2 linked regions of the Anolis sagrei genome follow. The protein of the gene in region 1 purifies or fractionates together with the protein of each later gene. This does not show direct contact. Links are inferred from orthologs where the notes say so. Each region holds a gene or a part of one and is shown on either strand. Other genes may lie near its edges.

Region 1 (9,179 bases):
CACAATGAGGACATCGATTTCCAGATGGAAGGAGATCCTGACAAGGTTTTGGCTTGATGCATTTTTGTCTCATCATGTTTCTCCTTTTTGCCCTCTATTCTTACCTCTTTAAAATCCATAGCACTGTCAGTAACAGCTGACATCCAGTTAGAATGCTCTAGGGCCAGAACTTTCCAGTTCTGTGTGTTTTTTCCAGATTTTTTAAGCTTAGCTTCCAGCCCATCTTTAAATCTCTTTTGCTTTCCACCAACATTCCAGTTTCCGTTTTAGAGCTAAGAGTAAATTAACTGCTTTGGGAGAGAATTATCAGGCATTTCAGCAATGTGACCAGTCCAGTGAAGTTGATGGTAGAGAAACATCGTTTCAATGCTGGTGGTCTTTGCTTCTTCCGGAACACTGATGTTTGTGTGCCTGTCTTCCCAAGGGATTTGCAGGATTTTTCAGAGGCAACACTGATGGCAACACTGTACTTTGTTATATTTATATGTTTGCACTATTGAGTGCTTTTGTGAGCTGCCCCAAGTCTTTTCGGGGAGATGCTGGTGGGATATAAATAAATTATTATTATTATTATTATTATTATTATTATTATTATTAATGATAGACATCTTCCGTTTCATCCCCATGTTCCTCAATATTTTCAGTGTGTTCCATAGATAGATGATCCTTGAATGCTGTTTGGAAAAAGGCATATTTAGAGGGCACCTTATCTTTTTTCTTTGGAGTCTATATATGAGAGTGATCTTGATGGCTATTGGGTATCGAATTAATGGTCGGTATAGCAGTAATCAAAGCTTTTCATGGCTCTTATGAGAAGTTCATCACAGCAATCTCTGGAACATATAATTATATAATCTACGAGATGTCAATGCTTTGACCGGGGATGCTTCCATGACATCTTAAGCTGATTTTTCTGGCAGAAGAACGTATTAGTGATGACAAGGTTTTGTTCCACACATTTAGTGAGAAGTAGGATGAGAAGTGAGCTGTTTCCCACCCCATCTTTCCCTATAGTCTCTGGCCACAGGTCGAAATCTCTCCTACTCTTGCATTAAAATAATCCAGGATGATGATTTTATCCTCCATGCATATCTCAGATAGGATGTATCCAGCTGACAGTAGAATTTTTCTTTGATGTCTTCATTAGCATCTAGTGTTGGTGCATAGGCACTTATGATAATTGCCAGCTGATTTTTGGCAAGGTTACTTAGGAGGGATGAGAACCATTTCTTCCTCTGAAGAGGAGGCTGGTTTGTCTGGGCCAAGGAAGTAGGGACAGTATAATATAGGAAATTGCTATAGAGTTGCCTTAAAAATAGTTCATTGTTAGAAGAGGAAATGACAGCCTGTAAGCGGGGAAAGAACCTCTCGACTTCTCTGAAAGAATCTAAAAGAGGACCTTTTAGAAAGAAGCATTCAGGGTAATAAAGAGCATTCTAAATTCTTTAGGGATATACACCATTATATTTCCCCCATAATTAAGTTCAGGTAGGCATTCTGCCAATCTAGGAGATGATTTCTGCCCACTTCCTGGTGCCAGTCAGGCTGAAAACCACAAAGCCTTCACACCAATGAAGTCTCACATAGAAGTTCAACTAAAAATTGTAATAAGGACAACACTGTGAATGACAGCTAAGCCGAATAGTGCTGATAATAACCTGTGGGAGAAGACAAGCCAGCAACAGAGAGAAATAGCCCCACCTCTATCAGAATTACTGCATCTTTGACAGGAAACATTCCATTTTATTTTACTTTATTTTATTTTCTTATAGACCTAGAGCTGTCTTAGGGACTACTTAGGGAGAATTCTTCAGGGTTCACACACAAACCCAAACACACCAGTGACATCTTTATTTGTCCTGTTGCACACTCACCATTTCCCACAGCTATAAGAAGCTGATTTCTTCTTTGGAGGACTGAGTCCTGGATGGCAGTGTCTGGTGGAGATGGGTTGGCGGGGGGTGGGGGGGTGGGATTAAACTCTATTTCCATATTTACTCTACTCTACTTCCTCCGTGCAATTCAGGATGGTATAAATGGCCCTTTATTGACCCCTTTAGTTTATTAGTATCCTTGAGATGTAGAAATTGAAAGATATGATTGACTCAACAACACCTGGTAAAATTTATGGTGATCATAGATTTTAAGCTAAAATTCTAAACCTGCTTTTACATTATGCACATTTATACTACATTGGGTTTATGCTAAATTGTCAGAACAGGTGTCAGAACAGGTGCCCACATGACCAAGAAGAATGAGGGAGATCACACTGGACATGATCCCTCCATTTTCCCTATGCTGGAGTATCCCCCATCTTTGCCCAAAGTAGGCCAAAGGACCATATCAGATGGGGGGGGGGGTAGTATTCTAGGATGCTTTTACCCCATCTAATGGATGTAGCCCCATGTCAACCATCACATAATGTCATGTGACTTCCAGTAAAGACCATGCCGCCAAGGTGAAAGTGTCGCTGGATGCTTTCCCTACAACACAGGAGGCTTCCTGTGTTGTGCTGGCTCCAATAGAGCCAGCACGCTTCTGCCCTGTTTGGGTTATGCTTCATCACGTGATGCAGAAAGTGTGGCCCCTCACCTCCTGGCAAAATGGCACTGGTGGGGGGAAGATTTCCCATGTGATAAGGTAGATAGTTTAAAGCAAAAAATAAAATGTCACAATCTTCCTTGGAAGCCACTCTGCATCATGGGGACAGCCAGCATTCCATTCAATGTGAGTCCAAAGTTTTTGCAATTGAAGATAAGCCAAAGACTTGAAAAATATCCTAAGTGCCCCTGATGGCTTTTTGGACTGCAACACCTAGCATTCCTCACTATTAGCTATGCTGTCTAGGCCGCCTGAGAGTTGCAGTCCAATAACATCTAGAGGGCTACATGATCCCATTCTTTACAATAGATCTGATGCAGAAGTGTCAAACATGTGGCCCTCCAGGTGTTTTGGACTTCAGCTCCCAGTATTCCTGACCATTGGATAAACTGGCTAGGGCCTCAGGGAGTTGGAGGTCCAAACATCTGAAGGGGCACAAGTTTGGCACCACTGAATTCTTACAGTGGGGCAGTTGAAATCAATGGGAGAACATACCTCAAATCAGGTTGGTTTCACTGGGTATACTCCTGACTAAATCTAGATCGAGCCCATGAATTGAAGGACTTATGTTCTTTGCTACATAGCCAGATCTCCTGGTTCTTAGTTAGAGTTTTATGCTTTCCAAACTTAGATTTTGATAATGTAGGGCATTTGTTTAAATCAGGCTATCAGAGACAAACCATTGTTCAAAATCTTGTGTATCACTCAGTTACTAATGAGATCTTCCTACAGCTACTTGCAGACTATGAACAAGTTATTTTAAAACACTCCCTCAGTTCCCCATCGTGCTATTTTCTTTTGATGTGAAAGAAAATAGCATGTGTCCCACTCTCAATTAAAGGTGGCTTATAAAACAAGCAAACAAGTTTTTAAATCCTTACACTGGAGAAAAATATAACCAGATATAAACATCTGTACTGAAGACACCCCTCTAAAAGTTTAGATGAGCTGATATTTGTGTGCATGTGAGTGTATGTATTTTTCCCGGCCAATCTTTTCTGTTGATGTAGTTCATAAAGGGAAACCATATATCCATGAAATTCCTAGCAATTCTGACTACAATTCTTGGAGTCCTCGTGGACAACAAGTTAAACATGAGCCAACAATGTGATGTGGCGGCAAAAAAAGCCAATGGGATTTTGGCCTGCATCAATAGGAGCATAGTGTCTAGATCTAAGGAAGTAATGCTACCCCTCTATTCTGCTTTGGTTAGACCACATCTGGAATATTGTGTCCAATTCTGGGCACCACAATTCAAGAGAGATATTGACAAGCTGGAATGTGTCCAGAGGAGGGCGACTAAAATGATCAAGGGTCTGGAGAACAAGCCCTATGAGGAGCGGCTTAGGGAACTGGGCATGTTTAGCCTGAAGAAGAGAAGGCTGAGAGGAGATATGATAGCCATGTATAAATATGTGAGAGGAAGCCATAGGGAGGAGGGAGCAAGCTTGTTTTCTGCTTCCCTGGAGACTAGGACGCGGAACAATGGCTTCAAACTACAAGAGAGGAGATTCCATCTGAACATTAGGAAGAACTTCCTGACTGTGAGAGCCGTTCAGCAGTGGAACTCTCTGCCCCGGAGTGTGGTGGAGGCTCCTTCTTTGGAAGCTTTTAAGCAGAGGCTCAATGGCCATTTGTCAGGGGTGATTTGAATGCAATATTCCTGCTTCTTGGCAGGGGGTTGGACTGGATGGCCCTTGAGGTCTCTTCCAACTCTTTGATTCTATGATTCTATGATTCTATGATGTCCCTCAAAATGGTATTGTGTAGATTGCTTCTCTCTTACAAGATAGCTGCTGTTGGTCTACGGTGGTTTTCCAATAAACTATGTAGTAAGGAGGAAATGGTTGACTGTCCACATTGGATAATTTGAGAAGTCTTGGACTACACAAAGGCTTGTAAGCAGAAGAGGGGTTTGGACTTCAACAAAATATCTACAATGTCGAAATTGTCTTTTCTGCTGATGCTACTTTAGTAGAAGGATGTACGTCTGGCAGTGTCACTTCGGACAGAGGGATTTGTTTTCCTTGTAAAGTTTTAGTTGGTGGGATGAGCATTCTTAATAAGTATTTGCTATTTACTAGTAAGTTGACTTTGATTTATGGTGGTTCTACGAATGAATGAACTCCAAGATCCCCACTCTTCAGCAGCCTTGAGTAAGGGTTGCAAACTTAGTGGTGTGGCATGTTTGCTTAAACCAATTCACTTATAGTGAGATGTCCCTCTTTTTCCACTATCTTTCTCTTTAACAGGCATTATCACGTTTTCTGTCAAGGTTTTAGGATGGACCCTTTCCAACTCACCCTGGAGAAATGCCAGAGACTGAACCTCGGAGTTTCTCAATGCAAAGCAATTTTTGTGCCACTGAATAAGATACATTTATGGTATTATTATTCTGCATAGCTTTAATTTTCATTATTAACCACTATGTTAGTAATCACACTACACTAAAGGTAAATGTAAAGGTTTTCCCCTGACATTAAGGCCAGTTGTATCCGACTCTGAGGGGTGGTGCTCATCTCCATTTCTAAGCCGTTGTCCGTAGACACCTCCAAGGTCATGTGGCTGGCATGACTACATGGAGCACCGTTACCTTCCTGCCAAAGCGGTACCTATTGATCTACTCACATATGCATGTTTTCGAACTGCTAGGTTGGCAGAAGCTGGGGCTGACAGCAGAAGCTCATGCTGCTCCCCGGATTCAAACCTGCGACCTTATGGTCAATAAGTTTAGCAGCTCAATGGTTTAACCCATTGTGCCACCAGGGCTCCCCACACTACACTACTATTCATTAAACTTTGATAACTCCTGTATTTCCATTGTATGGAATCGTAGAATTTGTAATTTTGTGAATTCTCTGACAATGAGGTCCCAAATCATGGCAGAGGTTTGGAATGGATGGCCCTTGTCTCTTTCAACTATGATTCCTAGTTGTAATCCAGCAAAGACGTCCATTGAACTCATCAAACAGCAAATCCCAGATTCTATAACAGAGATCTATGGCAGAGAAAGTGGTATCAACTGGCTCTAAATGTGTAGTAGAGCTGCACCCTATGATTTTACTTTTGTTTCTGTGTCTTTGGCTCCTAGCACTATCAGTCAAAAGACATTGTGCAGCTATTCTATATTCTCCATGGGATTTCTGCTGAGAGAAAAAGAGGAGGGTGAGAGGAAAAGGAGGAGGAAAAGACAGGAGGATTACAAGTGAAAATGTCCAGCCCCTTAATCCTAAATGTAGGTAAATGGGTAGGCAATTGCTCAATAGAAGCCTTGTATCAATGCACTCTTTGCTGGAAAAATAGGGTGCAGGTGCTGAAATAAAATATAAATAAAGTGAAAATTACATGGGTTTTCAACATTCAAGACTGAACTGAGAATTCATAGGCAGGAAGTGTATTAATGTAATACTCTTCATTTCTGTGAATGTTCTCCTCACTCATGTGCATGGATTTCCCAATATTTCTGCCTTCTGGCCTCACAGTTCTACAGAGTATTTTGCAAGTTGCTGCTACAAGCTCTGTTAAATGACGGTTCACAATATGCAAACAATGAATGGTACTGTTAGAATTTTCCTACAAAGGCTGGATAAAAACCACTTGACACTTTGAAAATAGGAAGTTCCAGGCAAAAGGCAAAGAAAGCCTTCGTCTTGTAACACTGCACTCTTCAACAGGGTTGGGAGTGCACTAGAGAATTTCTACAGCCATGGTAAGTCCAGAAATGTTTTCATTGTTTTCACTGTTTCATGGAAACTGATAAAAAAGAAGAAACATTAAGAAGGCTGCTCTGCAAACTGCTTGAGTGACTTATGTCCACATTTCAGTTTCATATCTTTGCAAAGCCAACTGTCTAAGGCACTCAGAAACTGGATAAAATCTTTTTAAGCTTGGCAGGTGGCTTCCAGTTTGCAGCTCAGCGAGTCAAATGCGGCAGATGCCTGGTCTATGGAGAGATTGGTAATACTGGTATTTTTGAGCTTTCAAACAGATTGGACAGATGTGTTTATCAAGACTCTGGTGGGCTGTCACAGATAGCTAGGGAGCTGAATATAGCTTGATAGGTTACAAGCAGTGCTGGAGAGACTAAATTCAGTACTTATTGTAGTGTTGGGCTAGAAATTGGGAGATCCAAGTATCATTGAGCCAGTTAGGTTCTCCTGGATCAATAACTGTTTCTCAGTCTAACTAAATTTGCAGAATTGTTGCTTATAATAACATCAATATGCATAATTATGCAGATAGAACTATCGAGATCTCTAATGAAACAATGGAGAATAAACGTAATAAAATGCCCTTTAAAGCCAAGTGTTTTACCTGAGAAAGAGGATGGCAGCGGCAAACCTCATTGGAATAAATCTTGACAAGAAAACCCTATGATAGAGTCACCAAAAGTTGACAAGACATACAGCAACAACAAACATCAACATCAACACTGCTGGACTACTTGGCAGATTCAAATAACCATCAAGATTTAGAGTTAGAAGAGAACTTGGACATCATTTAGCCCAATACAAGATGAGTTTTACTTATCTAGTATTCCAAAATACTCCAAATTCCAAAATTGTCCACATGGCTTGCTGGGATAATAACAGCATTGCTTTCTGATGGTTCAATGTACATGTTGCACAATATTTTTAAAAATAATGTATAGAATTACCTTCAGACTATGTGCATAATGTTTATGTGAAACATAAGTGGATTTTATGTTTAAATTTGGGTCTCATCTCATTATGTAAATATACACAAATATAGATATACCAGGAAAAAACTCTGAAATCCAAAACACTTCTGGTTCCAAGCATTTCAGATAAGGGATACTCATACTCAACCCATGTTACTTAATGTGGTGATCTGTGTACTGGTGGCTAGCAGCAAATTTTTCAGGAAAGAAAACAATGGTTGTAACTGATAGGTACAAAAATCCTCAACAAACCCTGACAGGTTAGGGGGGGAAACTGCTTCCATATGAGAAAGCTTTCAAAGTACTAATCCACACTTCTGCTTCATGCAAGGATCATTTAACTACAGTTATCCCTCCATATTTGTGGGTTTGATTATTCATTAGTTTGATCAAAAATGTTCTCTCTAAGAATCTCTAGATTCCCCAATGAGACCCTTTGGTCAACTTTCTCCAGCCATGCTGGAGCACCTAGGAAATCAAAGAGAGAGCACCTCTTTAGTAATTTCTGGATCCTCCAATGTGGCCCTTTCCACACAGTCCTATATCCCAGAATATCAAGGCAGAAAATCCCACAATATCTTCTTTGAACTGGGTTATCTGAGTCCACACTCAAATAATGAGAGATTTCCTGCCTTGATATTCTGGGACATAGGGCTGTGTGGAAGGGCCCCATAATTCTCTTGTCAGCTTCCAGAAGACCTAGAAATTCCTAGAAAGATGTTCTCTCAAGTAAAAAAAAAACCATTTTCTTTATTCATATACCTGTGCCCCTAACCACAGCTGCCTGTAAAATGACCTGTTTCTCTCTCCTCCTCCCACTTCCCCCTTTGTCCTCAATTTACTTCAGCTGCTGCAAACTGAGTTCAAAATGTTAAATCAATTTGCAGTAACAAACTCATAAAATGGGGCTAGATTCAGTGGCAAACATCTAGCCTCAGTCACCCACAGAACCGGCCGGCTCCCATCAAATGACATTGTGCTGGGTCTGTGGGTGCAGAGGAGCAGGACCAGTGTGCTGCCATTGCCCTGGCAACATGGGAGGTTTCCCTGATTGCCCAATCTATGGGGAAAGCCTTGCACTCCACACTTTCCTCCATGTGATTGCCCTCCCAGCAAGGCAGGCAATGTGAGGTATGGGGGTGCCAAATTCTCCATGCCTCACTGCGAAACAGACCATTCCCCCCTTCTGCTGCTGGCCGTCTGATAAGGTGGTTAGTTAATTCAACAGAGCAAAGCAGTGGGACACAGAACCTTGTTCTTACACAAAAACAAAATGTCTGGCATCTTCTACCTCAGTGTTTTTCCTCATTTATCACTCTTATTTATTTATTTATTTGTTTATTTATTTTGGGCACTTCTACCCCATCCTTCTCAATCCCCTAGGGGGGACTCAGGGCAGATTACAACCGGCACAATTCGATGCCAACAATTCAGCAGATAAAATACATAACAACAATAACCACAATAGTTAAAACATTCAGTTAATACAATAACAACTAAAAAGCCAATCTAGTGGCTTCATTCTTGGCCACAGGCATCCCAGTTTCCATCTCTGACATGCTGGAGGGCATGCAATGCAAGAACATACAATAAGACATGCCTAAGACATGTACATTTTATATTAGTGTTGCAGACTAAGTGAAAGGAAAAGCATGTGCGTGCCACTGCTTTTGAAGTGCTTGTGGCCAAAAAAAGAAAAGAGGGAGGGAGGGAGGGAGGGAGGAAGGAAGCTGACTGTGGGTTTTTTTCTGCCCTTATCATCCATGTCCACCATAGTCTGTAGTCAGTAGGATACAAAGCATGTGACCAGTTGCCAGGCATTGAAACAGCACATTGCAAACACGATTGTGGCTGGGGCAGTTCATGGTCCAACGAATGGCATGCAAAATGTATGCAT
Region 2 (9,590 bases), about 170 Mb from region 1:
GTATATGCATAAGGCAAAGTTTCCTGAATTTCAGTGATTCTACTTTCCCTTCCTCTAACTGTTTTGGAAGATCTTATATCCCTCAATATGGGAGATCAGGGCAAGCAAAAAAAAAAAAAAGAAGTGGGAAAACCCATTACTCTGAGAGTCCAGGGTGTTATTTTATAGGACTACAGCTCCCTAAATCTCTTGGACTTTGAGAAACCAAGTAAGCCATTCTGGAAGAATTTTTTTCAGTTTTTACATCTGATGATCTGGGCTTTATATAACAAAAGCTTATGCTACAAATTTCCTTTTCCCAGTTAGTTTCAGAAGTGCTACCAGATTTCTTTATGAATTTCTATAATAAAACTAACATAACTATCTCGTTGTGCCACTAAAAAGATTTAAGACTTCCAACAAATGAAAAGGAGAAAAGACTTAGTTTAAGACAGGAGGCTAGAAACCATTTTCTAAAAAATTTATCACATTCAGAAAACGTTGCAAATTATGTCAAAAATGAAACTAACTTCTAAAGTTATGAAAGCAAAAGCCCACAAGTGGAAATAATAAGGAGTGGGGTAAAAATCGAACTGCTGAAATGAAGTGAAACTCACCTTCTTAAAGTAGTCTGCCAAGTCATCTGGGGACCACCGGACCACCTCAGAGCGATAGGGAGTGTATCGAGAATCCATTTAGGTTCCAGTTACAGACGTATTCATGCCAGTCAAACCAACCCAGTCACAGGACTCGCCTCAGTAGCAACCAAAAGTAGTAGATACACTTAATGCCTACAGTTTGGCTTTCTTCAGAACTGTGAATAAACTGAAGGCAGCAACTTCTTCCGGTGTGAACCAAACCGTTTGGCTTCTTTCTCAGAAAACCTGTCGCTAGTTAGTCAGCTTTACCACTTCCTTCTTGTGGATCTAAATATGTAAACAAGGAAACAGAGCAGCTCAATCCCACAGTTGCAAAAAAAGATGGTTGATAATGGAGAGGAGGAAATGATATAGTTAGGTAAGGCTATTTTCTGCACAAGATTTGAAAGAAAGCTGGTGGTCAACACTTTCAGAAGCCAGTACACTAGAGCAAAATGGTGAAGTCCCTTAGCTGGTAGAAGGGGGACAGCACCAGCCTGCCAGGACTTTGGGTTTCTGTTTTTAAAAAATCACTAGAAAGATAAAAGCAACCAATATGAACCACCAGTAAGGGAGAAAAAAGTAGAAAATATATAGAAATTGAACAGTTCGTTCAAATATATGATCACTTGTTTTCCAATGTGCATTGTATATAGAACTTTTACATGGAAATAGGGTACAGACCACACACGCACACACAGAAATGCTGAGAAAAATTTATTTGAAACAGACTTTTAAACTGGGTCTGAACTTACATCACGAATTCAGGTATGCCAGATGTATTACAAATAATTGTGCCTTATCATATATTCTTAAAGCATAACTGGCTTACATAAACTTATGCATATCCATAGAAAAGTGTCATCTATATGAACACCAGGGAAATTTAATTCCAGGGGAATGGATACAGTAGGGATAAGAAACTGTTCTGAGTGTGTTCCTGGGATTGACCCACACATGACATGACATCACTTCTTGTTTGACATTGGGCTATTGGTGGAGCAGGGGGGTAAAATAAGCAAACTGTGATGTTTAGAAAGTATCACTAAAGAAAATTGGCCAGGGACAGGATTTGACTAACAACAAATGTACTAGAAAGAAGTAGGATTATTTGGAGAATGGTTAAATATCTGCCAGTCTCACTCTTGCTTCTCTCTGTGTGCACTGTGTGAATTCAGCCGTTGCACTGTTCTCTGGTAATGTGGCTCACAAGTGAAAACAATGCAGCCTTTTTCAGATAATAGAAAGATTTTGTAAAAATAGAAAAAGCTTAAAAGCATGCTTCCCAAGTGTTGGGAACCCTAATAATAATCCATTTTTAAGCAATCAAGTCTCCTTAATGAAAATTAGGTGGGATTATTTTGATAGACTATCGGTGTGCTTAGTTTTTGCCTTCACTTACAAGGAAAGAGACTGGAGTATATCCTTTGAAGCAATCTGATCTAATTGGGTTGACACATCTTTCAAAGGTTGACTCAAGCAACCAAAAGAATTATGGCTTACATCTTTTCAAATACAAACATTGAGCTGGAAGGCGTTGCAGAGGAGATAATCTCCAATTCCCCAGGCAGTGCAGGAACTGTAACTAGACCATTTCCAGCATCACTTGTCCAGCCTCTTTTTGAAGATGTAAAGTGAAACTGATTCCATTACCTTTCTAGGAAATTGATTCCATTGCCAAATTTTGTTCCAATGTTTAATCAAAATAGATAGTCCTGTAGCATTGGGACCTTTTCACATGGCCCTTTCGGACCTTGTCATTGCACCAGCAATTGCCAGTTAAAGGGAAGGTGTGCAGGGTGGCATGTGGCACTCTGTGCACCCTCCCCCCTCCCCTCATCACATCCCCTCATCAGATGATAGAAAAGGTAGCAACACACATTGCTCCGCTGCTCTTTCTGCTATCACATGGCAAAAAGGGGAGGAAAGTGCAGGTAGTTCAGTTGGAGCTATGCAAACTACACTTTCCTCCCCAGAGTGGAGAAAAAAAGCACCTTTAGGTGTTTCTCCGTGCATCATGTTATGGTGCATGGCAGGCCCCATCCTTGCCATGATTAAAAGTGGCAAAACAGGGCAAAATCATCCTATCCTCTGGGACACTAGAGAACAAACTTGATCCCTCCTTTCTGTGGGTGCCCTTTTAATATTAAAATGATGCAATCACTCCATCTTGTCTTTTACTCCATCTGAATGAAAATTGGAAATTAGTCAAAAAACAAAACTATTGGGAGAGAATGTGCTGATCAAATGAAAACAAACTGAATGAAGAAACATCAAATGTTTTTCTATGGCATACTGCAGAAAAGAGGCATTTCCAAATGTGGTAAGCAAATATCTTAAAAGGATGCTGGAATGGGATTATTAGTAAAGCCAGGCATTTTTAATGTATCTTCACCATCAATTACAGTCTGGTTCCTTGTAAGATATGATTAATTGAGATTGCTTTGATTATTTTGCTATGTTTTGTTTGGATTGTGTTATTTATGCCTTTTCTGTTAACTGTAATTACAAAAATGACTTAAGGTCTATAAACTGTATGACTATAATTTGCTTTTGCTTTTTTTTTTTTAAAAGCAAAATACAATTGTTTTACTTACATGGTTTCTTTTTATTCCAAATAAACATAGAACTCATGTAATTCTGTAGGGAAAGAAATTAAAGCACACTCTCTATATTACCACAAGAGTGCAGCCAAACTCAATTTTTCACATATACATTTGGGATTTGTTCACAACCTTTTCTAGGTGGAGGTTAGGATGAAAATGTGCAAAAGCAATGCAATGTTAATATAAAACAAAAATACTACTGCTTCCAAAAGCTAGGACAAAACAAATTCAAGGAAGTACTTCAAAGAATTGAGAACTGCAAGGAGAAGACTGTTCTCCATTTCCACCCTTGTACAGGCTTTTTCAAATGTTATAATGCTCCTGGTCATATCAGCTGTGGAATTCTACAAACTATAATGTTTTAAATTTTAATTTTACAAAACTCTATTCATACACCTTCTAAAATATGAATTAATGATTGGGAAGCAGCAATAGTGGGGGTTCACATCTGTGGAATATCTGCCAGAAATAAGGCCAGTGGCACCATAGATAGTGCTTGTTTGCATTGCACAGAAGGAGGCACCATAAATCCCTTTCCAACACCTTTTACCATGACAGCCCTATGATAAAACAATGAAGAAGGAAACAAGAGATAGTGCTAGAAAATTATACTCACAGCTTGGAAGGCACTCAACTAACTTCTGGAATTATCAACTTTAAAGAGCGCTGTGGTTAATGATGCAACTGGACTCAAGTCAGAAAGATTTTCTGTTAACTGATGTGCTAAGAAGTGAAAGGAAATTCCAAAACTGCACAACACATATTATAGGAGTATGAAATGTGGGAAACGTGAATCAGCAGCAGCTAGACATAGTAAAACAAGAAATGAAAGATATAAACATTGCGATACTTGGGATGAGTGAGCAAAAGTGGGCAGGAATTGGACATTTTACATCAGATAATTGCATAGCTTTACTCAGAAAATGGAAATATAAGACAAAATTGTTATTATTAATTTATTTACTTCATTTCTATCTTGCTTTTTTCATCCCTCGGGGGACCCAGAGCACTATACAGCAGTCATCTAGGCAAAAATTCAATGCCTCATTATACAAACTATATAAAACATAACATAAAATCACTAGCCACAATAGACATATAAATACAATGTAAAACATAATAACCCCACACACAATTAACTGCTTCATTTCTAACTGTGGTGTGATAAGATGTTAAACTGCATTTCTGTCACTCGTCAAACTTGCACAGTGGTGTTTCTCAAGTCTCTTGGTCAAGTAGCAGCATTACAGTCTATCATTATAATAGCAACATCACGAGACACCCTACTAGGCCCTCAACTTCCCCTGTCATGATCTTAAGATCTTCTTTGGCTCTCTTGGATAGTGCTGTGTGACTGGGCCCCCAGCAACATCATCCTTTTATCCCCCAGCAGGTGTTTCTGCTGGGCCTTGCTTCAGCCAGGCAGTCAGGGCCTGAGTCTGTAAGGAGCCAGTCACCAGGAACTCAGGTCAAAGGCAGCCTGCAGTAAACAGACACTGCCTCTTCCTCCAAGCTCCCTGCTGCTGATGTTCTTTGGCTCTCTTGGATGGTGCTGTGTCATGGGGTGAAATGCATAGTGAGAAGAGATGCAGCAAAAGTTGTCAAAGAATATAATGCAAAGTATGACCAAATAGTATCAATACAATTTCAGGAAAACCTGAATTGATATGATTTAAATATAATCCAAGTTTGTGTTCCATCTTCAGATGCTGAAAAAGAAATTTAAAAGAATGTGTACTAGAATCCAGAAAGAAATTGACTACACACCTAAACAGGATTTGTTGTTAAGCATAGATGCTTGGGATGAAAAAGTAGGCTTCAGAGCAGAATAAAAAAAATGTTAGTGTTCAATTTGGCATCACATATACTACAACTGAAAGACAAGGCAGCAAAAGATTGTGGGGAAAACTGGCAAATACAAGATGACTAAACGGAGACTATTGCACTTTGGACACAATGTGTGAAGACATGTCTCACTAGAAAAGACAGAGCTGGTTGATGAGAGAGAAGGCAATAGCAAAAGATAAAGACTGCATTCCAGGTGAAGAGGCTCAGCCAAGGAAGTCATAGCCCTCAGTCTGAAAGCTCTGAGTAGGGCTGCTGGTGATAGGGTGACTTGAGGGTTTCTCATTTATAGGGTCACCATAACTTGAACTTGAGTCAATGTCAGTTAACAACAAGGTACTGGCATAGTGTAACTCTGAAATCAATATGCCTGACTTACTTTGGGATAACCTTCTGAAGACATGAATTGTCATCTGTAGCTTAGGCCTCAGGTCACTTCCATAGAAAGCAATGCAACACTTTGTTTTTTTAGCTTGTGAAATTGTGCAACACTGTTATTAAGCATAGGATTTAGACATGTTTACTTGAAGATATACCTAGATGAAACTAATTAGACTTGTTTCCCAGAAGACAGGGTTAGAAGTGGGTTGAGGTTTGTAACTTAGATAAACAATTGTACGAAGCCATTTTAAATAGCTAGGATTTAATTCCAAGTTATGCATTTCAAAGTAGAATTTGTAAAAAAAATAGACTACAACATTTACAATTTCCAAGCAGACATGCTGAAAGATGTATTACCTAAAAAACAAACAAACAGACAAAACAAGAAATGTGCAGACCATGTTAGGTTTTATGAGAGACTAGAAAGATCAGCTTTGTCACTTTGAAAGTACAAACTGTCAGATATCTCCTTGAGATACAGGGGAAGGAGGAATAGGAATAGGAATAATAATAATTAATAATAATAATAATAAGGTTGCAAAAAGAAGACTTATCTCTATTTCTATAGCAGCAATGTTTTATAACTACATTTGTTCTAGTAAATGGCTAAGAAATGTAACCAAATGAATATGTTGTTTTCTAGTTTATGCCCCTGGTTTTTATTTTACTTGAAACATACAACAAATGAACAATAAGATAGAACTAAACTAATTTCAGTATTATAAAAGTTTCAAATTATACTCAATAAAATACATTTAAAAGTCAAAAATTATTTAAATACAGTTGCATTTAAATATAGCACTATTTAGCTCAAACTTTAAAAAAAATTGTATTAAAAACCTGTCAAAATATTTAAAAAAGTTTTCCACCTGTTAATGGAAAAACAACAAGAGAGGAGTCTAGGGACAGTCAGTGAAAAGGCCCTTTGTGCTTGTGATTCAAGGAAGTGTCAGACTTGATGATATCAGGGCTTATGCAGGCTCATATAGGGAGGCACCTCACGCCAGGCATTTGAGGAAGTAGGCTTTGCCTACAAGCTTCATTCTTTCAGTTTCATCTATGCTTACAATCGTGCCATCACCACTCAAGCAGGGAGCTTTGAAATGGCTGAACAGAAGCCCTCTTAATCCTTAGGTGCTCTTGTGGTCTATTACAGGGAAAACCAGCTGATGCCTAATCCATCTAAAATGCAGATGTGTGCTTTTCATTATAAGAAGAGACAAGCATCTTAAGCTCCGAGGATTACTTGGGAAGGAATCCCACTGGAGCATTGCAGCACACCAAAATACCTGGGCTACAAAGTGGAGTCCACGACATGCGAGTGCGGAGAAGAGGAAACCACAGACCACTTATAGCAATGCAGTCTGAGTCCTGCCACATGCACAATGGAGGACCATCTTACAGCGACATCAGAGGTACAAGTATTATCAGTACACTTCTGACACAATCAATAAATGAAAATTCTTTTAGTTATACTCTACAAGTAGTCTTTGTAGATTGATATTCCAGACTAACATTGTTGAATGTGGAGATACAGTCTGATAAATAGCCTAGACCTGAGCCCCATAGGACTTTATAGGTCATAACCAGCTTTTTGAATTGTGCCCAGAAACAAACTGGCAGCCAGTGGAGTTGTTGTAATGGGAAAAGTATGGTACCCGTAGCCTGCTCCAGTTAACATGCTGCAGCTCTTTGAATTAGCAAAAGTTTCCAAGCACTCTTCAAGGGCTGCCCACATACATGTTACAGAGTCCAAATGGAGTGTAACTAAGGAATGTAGCACTATAGTCAGATTAGGTAGCTCAAGAAATTAGCTTAGTGGGTGTACAAATGTGAAAGCACTTCTGGCCACCACAGAAATGGGTCTCCAGATTCAAAACTGAATCCAAAAGCGTCCCCCAAATTGCAAACTTGTGTCTCTCTTCAGTGGGAGTGTAACTCCATTTAACACAGATTGAATTCCTATTCCTTGATCTGCCTTTGATTGTCTTGTCAAGATTTCTCCAAGTCAATTACTGGATTAGACTCAAGGTCACCTGTTTGAATTAAGGTGGAAAGGAGTAATAGAAGAGGGTGCCATCTGCATAGTGATGACACTACACTCCAAAACCAGAAGACTTCTCCCAGCAGTTTCATGAATATTCTTAGATAGCCTGAGGGAGAAAACAGAACCTTGAGAAAACCTGCAAGCCAAGAGGCAGGTGTCTGTGAACAGGATTCAGTCAACACCACCAGGAAGGATTGGAGCTACTATAAAAAGTAACTTCAAATTCCATTCCAGTGAGGTGGCCCAGAATTATACTATGACCAATGTTATTGAAAACCACTGAGACATCCAGCAGAACTATTTGAGATGCACACCCTCATCCAGTTCCTAGCCTAGACCACCCATCAAATTGCAGAAAAAGAAATTCCACTTAAACATTTGAAAAAAAATGTCCTGATTGTTAGAGTTGTATGACAGTACAATACACTGCCTTAGAGTGTGGTGGGGTCTCCTTCTCTTGAGGTTTTTAAACAGAGGATGGATGGCCATCAGTTGGGAAAATTTTGATCATGTCTTCTGTAAGATGGGCAATTGAACTGAATGGCCCTTGGGATCATCTCCTGTATGAATCTAGGTAAGAAATCCTTGAGTCTGTCAGGCAGAAGGACAAGCCCTCATCCATATGTACCTCAAGTGACTCATCCAAAGAGGTGACTCCTTTTTTGTGTTAATTCCTTTGGCAGCAGCCCACCCCCTCAAGAGACCTGCTTTTATAACCAGACTCACAATAAGTCAGTTCTGTAAAGAGCAAAGTACCAAAATACAACAAAGGCCCAAAATAGCAGCAACAAACAGTCACTTAGAGACTCCAGATTGCCTCTGTGGTCCTTTCTCTCTTGTTTGTACTGGAGAATAGAGGCTTCTAGCCAAAGCCAAAGGCAGTCATCAATCCAGCATGGGGACAGAAGTCTACTTGTTTCTTGATATTCTACATTTGCACACGCATAGCCTGTGCCTTCTTAAGAGACACATGATTTGCAAAAAATATAGAAAAAAAGACATGTTATACAGTGGAACCGCTACTTAAGAGCATTTTGAGTTAAGAGCAGTTGTTTGTCCTAGGTTTCACTTTGACATAAGAATAGCATTTTGAGTTAAGGTCTAGCAGCAGAGGGAGCACAAGTAGAATCATATGATCATAGAATCAGAGTTGGAAGGGACCTCATGGGCCATCCAATCCAACCCCCTGCCAAGAAGCAGGAAAATTGTATTCAAAGCACCCCCGACAGATGGCCATCAAATCTCTATTTAAAAGCCTCCAAAGAAGGAGCCTCCACCAAACTCCAGGGCAGAGAGTTCCACTGCTAAATAGCTCTCACAGTTAGGAAGTTCTTCCTAATGTTCAGATGGAATCTCCTTCCTTGTAGTTTGAAGCCATTGCTCCGCATCCTAGTCTCCAGGGCAGCAGAAAACAAGCTTGCTTCCTTCTCCCTATGACTTCCTCTCACATATTTATACATGGCTATCATGTCTCCTCTCAGCCTTCTCTTTTTCAGGCTAAACATGCCCAGCTCTTTAAGCCACTCTTCACAGGGTTTGTTCTCCAGACCCTTGATCATTTTAGTCGCCCTCCCCTGAACACATTCCAGCTTGTCAATATCTCCTTTCAATTGTGGTGCCAAGAATTGGACACAGTATTCCAGATGTGGTCTAATCAAGCCAGAATAGAGGAGTAAGAGTACAGTGCGAGAGTACAGGGCTTTAGGGCTTCAAGGGAGCATCCTCTATTCTAATGTGTCTCCATGCCTCATGCTCTTGTCCACTTTGGGAGATTGCTATCTGCTTTAAGGAACTTTGGGTTAGTTGATTTTGTGTGGTTTTTATTTCTGGTATGTTTGGCTTCATGAATAGAGAGAAGGAAAGAGAGTGAGAGATTTAGGGAGGCTGGAATGAGTACAATATGAAGAAAATAATGCTTCTGCCTCTTCACTTTGTGCTTCCTTGCCACAACTTTGTGCTTCTGCCATGTTCAAGTTGATCATTCTTTTTTATCGTTTTGCGTGTGAATATGCATTTTTACATTAGGTAAAGGTAAAGGTTTTCCCCTGACATTAAGTCCCGTCATGTCCGACTCTGGGGTGTGGTGCTCACCTC

Evidence for each region.
Region 2: the proteins of FYB1 (region 1) and LCP2 purify together in Homo sapiens (co-immunoprecipitation; 6 studies listed by BioGRID and IntAct, with this or other methods). This does not show direct contact. The link is inferred for Anolis sagrei from reciprocal best matches to the Homo sapiens genes FYB1 and LCP2.

What each region holds. Positions count from the first base shown.
Region 1 is NC_090022.1:277,911,699-277,920,877, forward strand, and holds the start of FYB1 (FYN-binding protein 1), read left to right. Parts: upstream 1-4,846; 5' UTR 4,847-6,307; coding exon 6,308-6,310; intron 6,311-9,179. UniProt on the Homo sapiens protein: Acts as an adapter protein of the FYN and LCP2 signaling cascades in T-cells. May play a role in linking T-cell signaling to remodeling of the actin cytoskeleton. Modulates the expression of IL2. Involved in platelet activation.
Region 2 is NC_090022.1:104,302,116-104,311,705, reverse strand, and holds the start of LCP2 (lymphocyte cytosolic protein 2), read right to left. Parts: upstream 3,938-9,590; 5' UTR 3,840-3,937; intron 906-3,839; 5' UTR 675-905; coding exon 597-674; intron 1-596. UniProt on the Homo sapiens protein: Adapter protein primarily involved in signaling pathways within T-cells, as well as other immune cells such as platelets, mast cells, and natural killer (NK) cells.